Cricetulus griseus: one gene and its partners. The protein of the gene in region 3 interacts with the protein of the main gene of each other region in a biochemical or structural test. Links are inferred from orthologs where the notes say so. Each region holds a gene or a part of one and is shown on either strand. Other genes may lie near its edges.

Region 1 (3,958 bases), on a different chromosome or scaffold from region 3:
AACTCTCGCAGCATGGATGAGCATCGTATACAGATGGTGCTCAATAAGTACAGCTGTGGTGAGGCCTGGTCTTCTAATCTGAGATTGTTTGCCCCGAACCCCTTGCCATATGACAAGGGATGGTGTATACATACAGTAGGTACTTACTGTGTGGAAGGAAGGCAGTCCAGTTCGTATGTATCTGAATGAGCCTTGCAAGCAGTGACCAGCTTGAGGGAGGGAGAGGGCAGCTGTCCCTCTAGGATCCTATGGACAGAGGTCTCCAGCCTGGCTGGTGTTGGGCCTTAGCATCTTGGCCACCTGCCCATGTCCGTTGGGTTCCATCCCCCCATGCCCTGTCCTGGAGTTGGGACGTTGGTTTTGCAACAGCTTTGGCTGCAGCTCCTGGAAGAGATGGGAGGGGAGCTGGCCACAGAGTAGGGGGGCTGGGCCCTGGGTCCTGTCTCCATTGTTGGAGGAGAGCATTCCCCCTGTGTGGTTCCAAATTGGAACCCACACTCTGGCCACTGTCAAGGGCAGCAACTCCTTCTCATGGGTGCCCAGGCATTAATGGGGTCAGGTGGGACTGTGTTCCCCATTGTGAGGAGCAATCATCAAATTAGGGGCTAAGGTGCTACAGTGTGCACCCCAAGTTTAAATGACCTGTTGTGCTGGGCATGGTGGCCCATACCTTTAGTCCCAGTGCTGAGGATGCAGAGGCAGGTGGATCTCTGTGAGTTCCAGCCAGCCTGGTCTACAGAGTGAGACTTTGTCTCAAACATACACACATTCACCTGTCACTGGGTGTGTAGAGCCTCCATGTCCCTCAAGTTTTCTGACTTAATTAAGAATCCAGCTATCCATTCTCTGTCACCCCAAGAAAAAGTCATGCTGACACCGAGCCTTTGACAACGCAATGCATTATGTATTGCTGTTATTACCATGCTTAGGTAAATAAGCTGAGGCTGAGGGATTGGCTGGGCCTCAGGGCACCAAACTGGGCCTGGAGATGCACATCTGTTATCCCAGCACTCAGGAGGTGGAGGCAGGGGAATTAAGAGTTTGAGGCCAGCCTGGACTATTTGAGATCCTATTTTATTTTATTTTTGGTTTTTTAGAGACAGGGATTCTCTGTGTCACCTTGGATGTCGTGGATCTCTGTGGACCAGGCTGGTCTTGAACTCACAGAGATCTGCCTTCCTCTACCTCCTGAGTGCTGGGATTAAAGGTGTGAGCCACCTTTGCCCAGCCCTGAGGTCCTGTTTTTTAAAAAAAAAAAAAAAAAGAGAGAGAAAAAAGATGGCTTGCTCAGTTGTCACTGATATTCAGCAGCGTGTATGAAGTTGAGTGGAGACCCTGGGGGGGGCACGCCTCTCCATGCCACCCACATTGTCCTGTCCTCAGGGAGGAAGTGGGGCTGTGACCGGCATGGGGCAATACAACGGCCTCTGGCTGCAGCTATAAGTATGGCTGTTAGGTAGGGCTGTGGAGAGCCACCAGAGCATAGCCCCACCATGACCCCCAGCCCATCATCCAGCCGGCTTCCTGCTTCCATGCTGCTGGCCTTGCTCCTGGGTGGTGAGTGAGGATGGCCACACTGACCTTTGTCATCTCCATTGTCTTTCCTAATTCTCCCAGGGCTTTAGAAAAAGACATGGAATTTTGCAGTGCCCAGAACACTGTAAGGAAAGAAGGGAGGTGCTTGGATCTTCAGTACAGGAGTACCTTGGGCAGGTTCTTGTTCCTCTCTGCCTCAGTTTCCCTCATCAACATTGTGAGTTCTCATTGGGGGTTCAAACAACTTGGTGGCTGGGGCTCATTCTTCCTCCCCGTGTGTCCCTAGGCCCGGTGCTGGCCTCAGAGATTGTGGGTGGCCGGCCAGCCCAGGCACATGCTTGGCCCTTCATGGTGTCCCTGCAGCGGCGTGGAGGTCACTTCTGTGGTGCCACGCTCATCGCCAGGAACTTCCTCATGTCAGCAGCCCACTGTGTGAATGGCCTGTGAGTCCCCTCTTCGTCCCTCTCAATCCTCAGTGTCCACATGGGCCAGACCAGAGAGGTCAGGTGGGGGCTCCCACTCATACTCCTCCCCTCTCCGCTGTCCACAGAAACATCCGGTCAGTGCAGGCAGTGCTGGGAGCTCACAACCTGCGGCGAAAGGAGCCCACTAGACAGATCTTCTCTGTGCAGCGGATCTTCGAGAATGGCTTTGACCCCACTCGTCTGGTGAACGACATTGTGATCATCCAGGTAGGCTTGGGAGTCCGGGAGCCTGAGACTCAGGTGCAAAGGTCTTGGAGTTCAGGCTTGAGAAAGGTGCAGTGCGGAAGGCTCTGGGAGTGGGGAATGGGGCACAGACACAGTGGGGCAACTTCAGTTATTGCCTCTGAGCCTGTTTCCCACTGAGCACAGTGGGAATAGCTGTCCTGTAGGCCTGATGGTGATGGCTCATAAGATCTAATATATGGAAAGTTCAGGGCAGTGTTCAACAAATTCCTGTTATTTGCGCTTCTCTGCTCACTGACTCTGTGACTCTGGGGTACCTGGGGGAAATATTCTTTTTTTGGTTTTTAGGGATAGGGTTTCTCTGTGTAGCTTTGGAGGCTGTCCTGGAACTCACTCTGGAGACCAGGCTGGCCTCGAACTCACAGAGATCTGAATGCCTCTGCCTCCCGAGTGCTGGGATTAAAGGTGTGCACCAGCAACACGCGGCTGGGGGAAATATTCATTTCTTCCTCCAGTTCCTAACCATCCCCACCACTTGGTGGCAGGGTACTAAGCCATTGTCTAAAGTGCCCTGCGACTTCTTCGTGTTCTAAGTCTCTCCCTTACTCACTGTCCCTCACCTCAGCTCAATGGCTCAGCCACCATTAACACCAACGTGCAGGTGGCCCAGCTGCCTGCCCAGGGCCGTGGCGTGGTTAATGGAACTCAATGCCTGGCCATGGGCTGGGGCAGGCTGGGCACGAACCGACCGGCACCCAATGTGCTCCAAGAGCTCAATGTGACCGTGGTGACAAATTTCTGCCGCAACCGTCTGAATGTATGCACGCTGGTGCCACAACGGAGAGCAGGCATCTGCTTTGTAAGTTCCCTTTTGCAGTAGAAGGGATTGTGGTCAGACCCAAGGGATGACTTCCCAGTGCTGGAGCATGAGTAAGGGGGTGCCGAGAGGGCCAGTCTCTGACCTTGACACCTCCTCAGGGGGATTCTGGAGGACCCTTGGTCTGTAACGGGCTTGTCCAAGGCATCGACTCCTTCATCCGCGGAGGCTGTGGGTCTGGATTTTTCCCAGATGCCTTCGCGCCTGTGGCTGAGTTTGCAGACTGGATCAATTCCATTATCCGAAGCCATGACAACCATCCCCATATCCACCCCAGAGACCCTGAGAGCAGCAATGACTAGGACCTGCCTGTCCTCCCAGTGCCGTCAACCTCAAGGGACAGCTCTCAATAAAAGCAGCATTTGCTTTGTTTGCTGGGTCTGGTGTCTGTTGTCAGTGCCACAGAATGTAGAGCAAAGCCACTATCTAATGTGAGGGGCACCTCCTGGGGACTTGGCTACCAAGCTAGGGCAAAGTCACAGCAGGAGACACGTTCCCCACGTTGTACAAAAAGAGATCAGTGAGATGGCCCTTTTGGGCTTCTGTCCCCTAAAACCCATGTTCAGTTAGGTCTCAGAACTAGGAGGCTGAGGCGGGAAGATTGTCATGAATTTAAGGACAGCCCAGGCAACGAGTGAGGCCCTGTCTCAGAAAACACAGAGGGGCTGGAGAGACAGTTCAGCAGTTAAGAGCATCTGCTGCTCCCAAAGGAGACCTCGGTTCCCGAGTGTGGCTCACAATTACCTATAGCTCCTGTTGCAGGGGGCTTGTCCTCTGGACTCTGGACACCAGGCATGCAATACACACCCCCATACACAGAACTAAGAATAATAAAAGTAAATCTACCAAATAAATAAGCTAGGACTGGTAAGGTGGT
Region 2 (4,088 bases), on a different chromosome or scaffold from region 3:
TCCAGGACAGCCTCCAAAACCACAGAGAAACCCTGTCTCAACAAACGAACAAATAAACAAACAAACAAAAAGAACAAAGAACAAAAAGATACTCTTGCAACTGAATCCTATTATTTTCTCTAAATGCTGTGAGAGTGTTACCATGGTACTGTGAGTTCAGATGGAGGAAAGGACCACATTGGAAGGATATTATGAAAGTGGAAGTGAGAGATGATTTCAAAACGTACGTGTGTGTGTGTGTGTGTGTGTGTGTGTGTGTGTGTGTGTGTGTGTGTGTTCTCAAAACCCAAAAGAGGACATTAGACCCACCCCCTGGAAGCTGGAGATGCCAGCTGTCTGATGTGGGTGCTGGGAATTGAACTCAGGTCCTCTGGAGCAGCAGTAAGTGCTCCTGATTGCTGAGCCATCTCTCCAGCCCTCAATGCGATCTCAACACTGCCCACCTGGTTAGTGGTACCTCTCCATGGTACAGTTCTTGTCTGGCATGCTGAGTCTCACCCTACAGGCCGATCAAGAAATAAAACACACCAGGAGAGAGGCTATATGGTGCTTAAATTCAAAAGGGATGGGGATATGACAGCTTTGTAAAAATAATATAACTTAATCCACTGATTAGTTCAACAGCAGGGCTGGAATACAGGTGAGGGATCACCGGAAAAACAACAACAAAAAAACAATGGTTACTCACAACATAAAAACTGGAAAACAAGTTCATAAATATTATGTAATACATGCATTGAGACACCACATGCTATCCCAGTCCCTCATCTGGGAATGGAAATGGGAACAGTGTCCAGCTGATTGCTGGGAAGGTCAAATGAGGTTGGGTATGGACCATTTGCCAGAATCTGGCTATGGAAGGCACTCAGCAAACATACGTTATTTTCACGATTTCCTTCTTGAAGGCCAAGACAAGGAAATTGAAGAAGAGGGAAAGAACCGAAAGGAAATGGGAAACATGGTGGCTGGGTGAGGTGACCAGCCAAGGAGGAGAAAGTCAAACAGTGAAGAGCAGCAGAGTGGGGGAGTTGCCATTTTCACCACCTCTACATCTGCTGCGGACTCCACACTCAAACATTTTGTAAGCGTCCTATTCGAGGTAATGTTTGCTCCTTCTGCATACAGTGGCAGGGGCCTCAGAGAATCATTAACCCCATTGGACTATCTTCCTTGTCCATGCCTTTGGTCCCTTTTAAGCCAACTGGGACAGTTTTCCAGGTGCTGTTGGCCAGTCCCAACATGGACCACAAGGAAGTAGTCCTTCTATTTCTCTTGTTTCTGAGATCAGGTAAGATTTGATGCGTGGTTTTGTTTTAACCTTTAAAAAAAAATCTAGCCATATATTAAAAATAGGTTCGATATGTCTTTATGCGCAATTTAGTTGAACTATAGGGTTTATGAGATTTTTTCGGTTAAAAATCTCTGACTGAGGAGTTTGACATATAAATTTAATTTTCCTGTGAGTACTGTTGGAGTGGGGAAGGAACAGGCAGAGCAAGCCACAGGTTGCTTTTCAAATCTAAATGATGGAAGATTTTAGCAGTGATGCATCTGATTAACAACTCTAAAGGTAGTTATAGGGGGATGTAGCTGAGTGGTAGAGCATTGGCCATGTGTGAGGTCCTGGGTTCAATGTCTGGTGGTGGTGGCAGTGGGGTTAGATGGTTAGCACAGTTTTCAGTGTGACTGACAAAAATGGTTTTTGTTGACCTGTCCTGTTCTCCCGGGGATTTTCTGTTTGGTTTAAGGAAGCCTTTGTATAGGTACATAGCTGCCTCTCATGCCTCCATGAGTCACATGGGTCAGTTTAAAAATGACAAATGTATACAGTAATTGAACAAATACCTATTTAGAGGTCAGGGTGTGCTAGACACTTGTGTGCTTTTGAGTGTGTGTGTGTGTGTGTGTGTGTGTGTGTGTGTGTGTGTGTGTGGTGTATATGTGTCTGTGTGCATGTGCAGTGTGTATATGTGTCTCTGTGTGTGCAAGTGTGGTGTGTGTTTCTGTGTGGTGTGTGTGTGTGTGTGTGTGTGTGTGTGTGTGTGTGTGTGTACTGACACTAGCTTACAAACCTGATGGCAGAGGGATAGCATGTTTTCCTCATTATGTAGATGAAGACTTGGGAAAATCATGACTAGGGCTTTCCAAGAAGAAATTCAGTGTTCTCTGTTTTTCAACTTTGTTTAAAGCTCTTAAAAATTCACATTCTAAACATGATTGGTAATTTTCTCTTGAGTAGTTTTACTGACATGACTCCCACACTGTCAGATGCACTGTGAGGCACACAACCTGATGGCTTTCAGTAACATTCAGGGGTGTTCAACTATCACGATAAAAACTAGAATATTTTCATTGCCTCCACCCCAAAGAAACACTGCTCCCCTGTGTGCCAGCCCTAAGCCCCATTCATCTGGCTTTCTGTCTTTATAAATTTGCTGTCTGGGACATTTCATATCAAAGCAATCATATTTCATGCCAGCCTTCTTCATGCTAACAATGTCAAGGGACTTGAGACTTAATCTGTAGACCAATAAGGTTTTATAAATTGCACTTTATGGTTAAATACATTTTAATTTAGTGGACAGTACTTAGAGACAGAAAAAATCCAGAGAGAGAGAGAGAGAGAGAGAGAGAGAGAGAGAGAGAGAGTGTGTGTGAGAGAGAGAGAGAGAGAGAGAGTTTGTCTATTTCTCTGTTTTTCTTCTCCTTCCTTTCCCTGTGTGTGTGTCTGTCTCTTTTCTTCTTCCTTCTTCTCTCTCTGAGTGTGCGTCTGTCTCTGTCTGTCTGTTTCTCTTTCTTCTCCCTCCTTTCCCTGTGTGTGTGTGTGCGTGTGTGTGTGTGTGTGTGTGTGTGTGTGTGTGTGAGAGAGAGAGAGAGAGAGAGAGAGAGAGAGAGAGAGACAGAGAGACAGAGAATATCCCACTCTTGCCTGTAGAATAAGCTCAGGGGTCACACCCAAAGGCTAGAACTAACTTCTTTCAGCAGGTTAACTTATATCTCAGCCAACTGAGGGGGGATTCTTTCATAAGCTCTTTGTGAAAGTATTCACTCTCATTTTCTGTGGAAATGACTTGACTTTCATTTTCTTATTGCATTAAAATAGCTTGGGAAAGAGGGGGTGGTAGTGAGGAGAGAGGAAGAGAGAGAGATAAAAGCTTCCACAGCTGTGAACAAACTACTGGGACTTTTTTTTTTTTTGAGATAAAGTCATATTATATAGACCTGGCCATTCTGGAACTTGCTATGCTATGTAGATGAGGCTAGCCTTCAACTCTCAGAAGCATACCTCTGCCTAAAAAGTACTGGGACACACACACACACACACACACACACACACACACACACACACACACACACGTGATGAAAAAGGTCTCTTCACTTTGATGCTAATACACATCTATATTTAGGCTCTAACACTGAAATAGTTTTCCTACTAAAAGGTTTGTTTTAAGTCCTCATATTAATACATTATATTAAACCTCATTACTACATGAGCCCCAGAGGTAAACAGAAGAGATAAAGACTGGAGAGACATTTTGAATATAAAAGAAAAATTCACTCCTCCTTAGGGACATGTCTTTGGAACATCAGCTCCTTGGGTGGATCTCAGTAACTGTATACCATGAAACACGAAGTAAGACACAAAGCTGATGACCCAGAGAGCTCGCTCCTCTTTATCGTTATCTGAAACCTAGCTTGCACACTCCCCAGAACTCTTTGCACAGGTTAGCCCAAGTCTGTCTATCTAGATACATGGCAAAGAGTTACTATGCCTCCTCCAGACCACACACAGCTCTACAGATATCCAAAGCACAGCTCTTCTCAAAACGAGGAGTTTGAGTTAAAACAAAACACAAGCCTAAAATGTCCATGCCTCCATCAACTTTTATGCTTAGGCTAAGTACTTTGACGATTGAAAACATTGTCAGCTAGCTTTCTGCTCTTTAGTCAGTCTTCCAGTTTGGAGCATTAAGGAGGGATAAAGTCACCAAGGAAGGAAGGGTAGACTTCCAGAGATGAGTCTGCATTCATCAGTTGTCTTCTCAAGTTTTTTCACTTCCAATTCTGGTCACTCTTTAACCTGCTGG
Region 3 (4,004 bases):
GCTTTGTCTGGGGTTTCAGTATCCACTCTGCCAGGTCTTCCCAGTGTGGGACCAGAAAAAGGGGGGAAAGGGGAAGCAGGGCCAGAGAAGAGGTTACATGGCCCCAGCTGGTCCAGAAATGAATCCATGCCTTGCCTTGGTGCCCCTAACCACAGTGTTTGTGCCTTGAGCCAGGGAGGCAGCCCTTGGGGCCAGCACCCCTGGGGAGAAGGGGCAACAGGAATCATCTCTGCATCTCAGGTCCCTCCCAGGAGAAGGGAAGATCCTGGCATCTCTTGAGTCCCCATTTAGAGGAGAGAAGCAGTCTGAGATGTGGCCCCTGCTGCCTCCTCACTGTTTGCAATTCATGTAAATATGATCAATAAATTCTTTGGAAGAGCCATGGAGCTGAGTGAGGCTGTGTTGTGTTTTGTTTTACCTAAGCTGGGCTCAAGCAGTCTGCCTCAGCCTTTCAAGGAGGTGGGGTTACTGGTGGGTATCACCATGTCTGGCTTATGGCTTGTCCTTGATTTTTTGAGATAGTCTCATGTAGTTCAGGCTGGTCTCAATCTGAGACCAGCCTGAACTGGTCTCAGATTGAGACCATCCCAAGACCATGATTGAGACCATCCCAAGACCATTCTTGGGATGACTCTCTTGCCTGAAGCAAAGTCCTGAGATTATAGGCATAACACCAGGCCCAACTTTTGTTTTTTTTTCGAGACAGGGTTTCTCTGTGGCTTTGGAGGCTGCCGTGGAACTAGCTCTTGTAGACCAGGCTGGTCTCGAACTCACAGAGATCTGCCTGCCTCTGCCTCACGAGTGCTGGGATTAAAGGCATGCGGCACCAACGCCTGTCTTAGGCCCAACTTTTAAAGACATACTTTTTTTTATGTGTATGAGTGTTTTGCCCACACGTATGCATGTGCATCATTTGTGTATCTGGACCCTGCAGAGGTCAGAAGAGGGCATCAGATTCCCTGGAACTGGAGTTAGTGGATGGTTGTGAAGCACCATGTGCACCATATGGGTGCTGAGAATTGAACCTGGATCCTCTGCAAGGGCGGCCAGTGCTCTTAACCACTGAACCATCTCTCTAGTCTCTATGCCCAGGTTTTTTTTTTTTTTTTTTTTTGATACAAGGTCTTTGAGCTCAAACTATTGGCCTTGAATGTGATATGTAGCTGATGTTGACACTGTATTCCCAATCATCTTACCTCTGTCTTTCAAGTGCTGTTATACAAGGCTTGTATCATCATGCCCACCACTTTATCTTGATGGCGGTAAGATTAGGAAAAGCCAAGACCTAGTAGTTTCCAGGCCTGTGAAGAGCAGAGCCAGAGGGTAGAGAGGGAGCCATTGTCCTCTGGCTGCCATGGATGCAGGGCTTCTGGTCTGGGTGGCCTCCGGCAAGTTTTCAGATGGCTCATCCTTGGGGGAAAGTGAATGTTGATGCTGAAGAGGTGGTACCCTGGGATGGCCTGCCTCCAGCTGAGTCTTATTTCTCCACCCCTTACCTTGGCCCATGCTAAAGGTAGCCAACCAGAATCCTGGGCTTGCTGCAGGTTCCTGCAGCCTTCCCTTGCCTGGGACAGTTGTGGTGACGGTGGTGGGAACACAGGAATTTGGGAACAGGAATCTGATTGTGACTCTCTGAGCCTAACTGACCATGGATAATCCCCATGCTGAAGGGTCATTAGAAGGCTTGCCAGGCCCCTGAGCATCCTGGAGCTACCCTCTTGCCTGGCCAGACCCAACCTCCTCAACTGTCTGCTCCTGTAACCAGGCTCTGGGTGGCTGTCTTAGGATTAGCAGCCCTGATGGGAAAGGGGCTTCTGGCCCCCATATCAATGTTTAACCGGATGTGCAGGTCAATATTTACCAGCAGAGAAGGCAGGCTGAACGGGGGTTGGCTAAGAGCAAAGGTCCTGTGGGAGGAGAGAGCTAGGCCAGGCTGGCTGCACCAGGCAGAGTGTGGAGAGCAAGTGGGTCCCGGAGAACATCGTGTGCTGGAGCAAGAAGCCTGAAGAGGTAGGATCAAAGGGTGGTGCAGCCTTCTCCGGCAGCAGAGGAGATGCGGAGGGGCCCCTGGGCAAGGGGTCTGGCTGAATTGATTCAGGGAGCCTGCAGCTTCACAGTGTCTTGGGGTGTTGAGGAGCAGAAGTGCAGGCAGTTCCAGAAGTCCCTTTAGAACCTCAAAACCTAAAGGCCTGTTCTTTTCAGGCAGAATCATATCCATGTTGGAGATGAGGGCCTGGCTGAAGGCTCTTGGACGTAATGGTGGGGGCTGGGGAGTAACAGAGGGACCCTCCAGAAGAGCTGGCTAGGAGATAAGGCCCAGGTAGGGGTTGAGGATAGGAAAATCTTTATTGGAGGCCTTAGACTAAGACTTGCACAGACCCCTCCACCAGTCTGGCTTCCCCAAAGCACCCTGGAGCAGAATTGGGGGACAGAGTTGGGATAAGGCTTGTGGTTCCCGTAAGTCCAAAGGTATCTGGGCCAGTCATTCATTGGGCTCCGCTACTAGGTCAACAAAGCTGCTTTCTGGCTGCCCTGCCACCCCAGCTGAGCCCTTGGGGCCTTTGGGTAGGACTGGGGCAGTCTGAGAAAGACTGGATGAAGTGAACAACAGGTTAGATGGGTTCTCTGGGGTGGGAAGCCTTCTCAGATACAGATCACTGAGAGCCAGCCATCATACTCAAGGTTTACAGAGATTCTTATTCTGGTCCTCAATCTCTACATGGGAGGGAGGACTTCTGCCATGACTTTACAAGACAAGCTAAAACCCAAAAGAATTAAGGGAAGTACCAAAGGTCCTGTGGGAAGAAGCAGAGGCCAGATTTAAACCCAGGTCTGATCCACAATGTGAGGCCTAGAGAATGAAGACTAAATGAGAAACTACAAGAGTGGAAAGAAATCATGGGAATCCCACTTCTCAGGATGAGGACCACAGCTAATATGCTTGGGTGTGGGTCCAAGTTCTGTATCTTGATGGGGTCAGGGAGCCCATGGGTAGCAGTCTGCTGCCTGATGTTTGAGTGGGAAGTGGGAACTAACCCTCCCTGTCCCGGATACAGGAACATGGCACTGCTCTGGGGGCTCCTGGTACTTGGCTTGTCCTGTCTGCAAAGCCCCTGCTCCATGGTGAGGCTGGGCTGAGGTCTGGGTTGAGGAAGATGCTGTGGGGGAGGGGCAAGTTTGGGAGAGGCCAGAGGGTAGAGAGGGAGGAATGCTGAGCCCAGGGAGGGGTTGGCTCTGAGGAACCTTCTGCCTCTGCTCACCCTCTTCTCAACAGTTTTCCCCTGTGAGTGCCATGGATCTCCCGAGCCAGCAGGTACTTGGGGGGCTTGGGCGGAAGAGCCCAAGGGTCTCACCTATGTCTTGGGCAAAGCAGGGACCTATGGAGAGGTCCCCCATTTCTCCACCTATTTCCTCCTTTCTAAAGCCAATGAGTGAGCAGGCCCAGCAGAAGCTGCCCCCACTCGCCCTCCTCAAGTTGGGTAAACAGGTACAATCAGGTGGGCCAGGGGGAGGAGGGCCAATCAGCAGGAGTAAGGGAATGGGGGAGGGGAGACGTGGTCATGGGACTGGTGTTGGGGGTTCAAAAGGGATGGGGTAGGAATGACCCCAGCATGACTCTTCCTCTCCCCTCAGATCTGGGACAAGGCCTTGCAGCCCTCTAGTACCCAGACTGTGAGGGAGGCACAGAGAATCCGAGGCTGCCCCTTGACCTTACTGACCTCTGGTCTTTTCTTGTAGGATCTCAGTGGCCACACTATCCTGGAGAGGTCCCCAGGAAACTGCAAGAGTACCCCAACTGCAGAGGAGACTCGCAGGCTGGCTCAGGCCATGATGGCTTTCACTGCTGACCTGTTCTCCTTGGTGGCCCAAACATCTACCAGCTCCAACCTTATCCTGTCACCCCTGAGTGTGGCCCTGGCACTCTCTCACCTGGCACTAGGTACTGGAGCAGCACCTGCCCAGAACTAGGAGGCCACAAGGAGTTCAATGCTGCAGATGTTGTC

The links.
Region 1: of the proteins of Serpinf2 (region 3) and Elane, one has a biochemical effect on the other in vitro, tested with the Homo sapiens proteins (2 studies listed by BioGRID). The link is inferred for Cricetulus griseus from reciprocal best matches to the Homo sapiens genes SERPINF2 and ELANE.
Region 2: the proteins of Serpinf2 (region 3) and Plg form a complex in vitro, tested with the Homo sapiens proteins (2 studies listed by BioGRID, with this or other methods). The link is inferred for Cricetulus griseus from reciprocal best matches to the Homo sapiens genes SERPINF2 and PLG.

What each region holds. Positions count from the first base shown.
Region 1 is NC_048598.1:100,684,942-100,688,899, forward strand, and holds Elane (neutrophil elastase), read left to right. Parts: upstream 1-1,493; coding exon 1,494-1,557; intron 1,558-1,822; coding exon 1,823-1,979; intron 1,980-2,086; coding exon 2,087-2,228; intron 2,229-2,829; coding exon 2,830-3,063; intron 3,064-3,182; coding exon 3,183-3,383; 3' UTR 3,384-3,431; downstream 3,432-3,958. UniProt on the Homo sapiens protein: Serine protease that modifies the functions of natural killer cells, monocytes and granulocytes. Inhibits C5a-dependent neutrophil enzyme release and chemotaxis. Promotes cleavage of GSDMB, thereby inhibiting pyroptosis. Promotes blood coagulation.
Region 2 is NC_048595.1:288,618,340-288,622,427, reverse strand, and holds the start of Plg (plasminogen), read left to right. Parts: upstream 1-1,239; coding exon 1,240-1,288; intron 1,289-4,088. UniProt on the Homo sapiens protein: Plasmin dissolves the fibrin of blood clots and acts as a proteolytic factor in a variety of other processes including embryonic development, tissue remodeling, tumor invasion, and inflammation. In ovulation, weakens the walls of the Graafian follicle.
Region 3 is NC_048600.1:88,885,862-88,889,865, reverse strand, and holds the start of Serpinf2 (alpha-2-antiplasmin), read left to right. Parts: upstream 1-1,190; 5' UTR 1,191-2,898; coding exon 2,899-3,123; intron 3,124-3,274; coding exon 3,275-3,313; intron 3,314-3,424; coding exon 3,425-3,487; intron 3,488-3,738; coding exon 3,739-3,940; intron 3,941-4,004.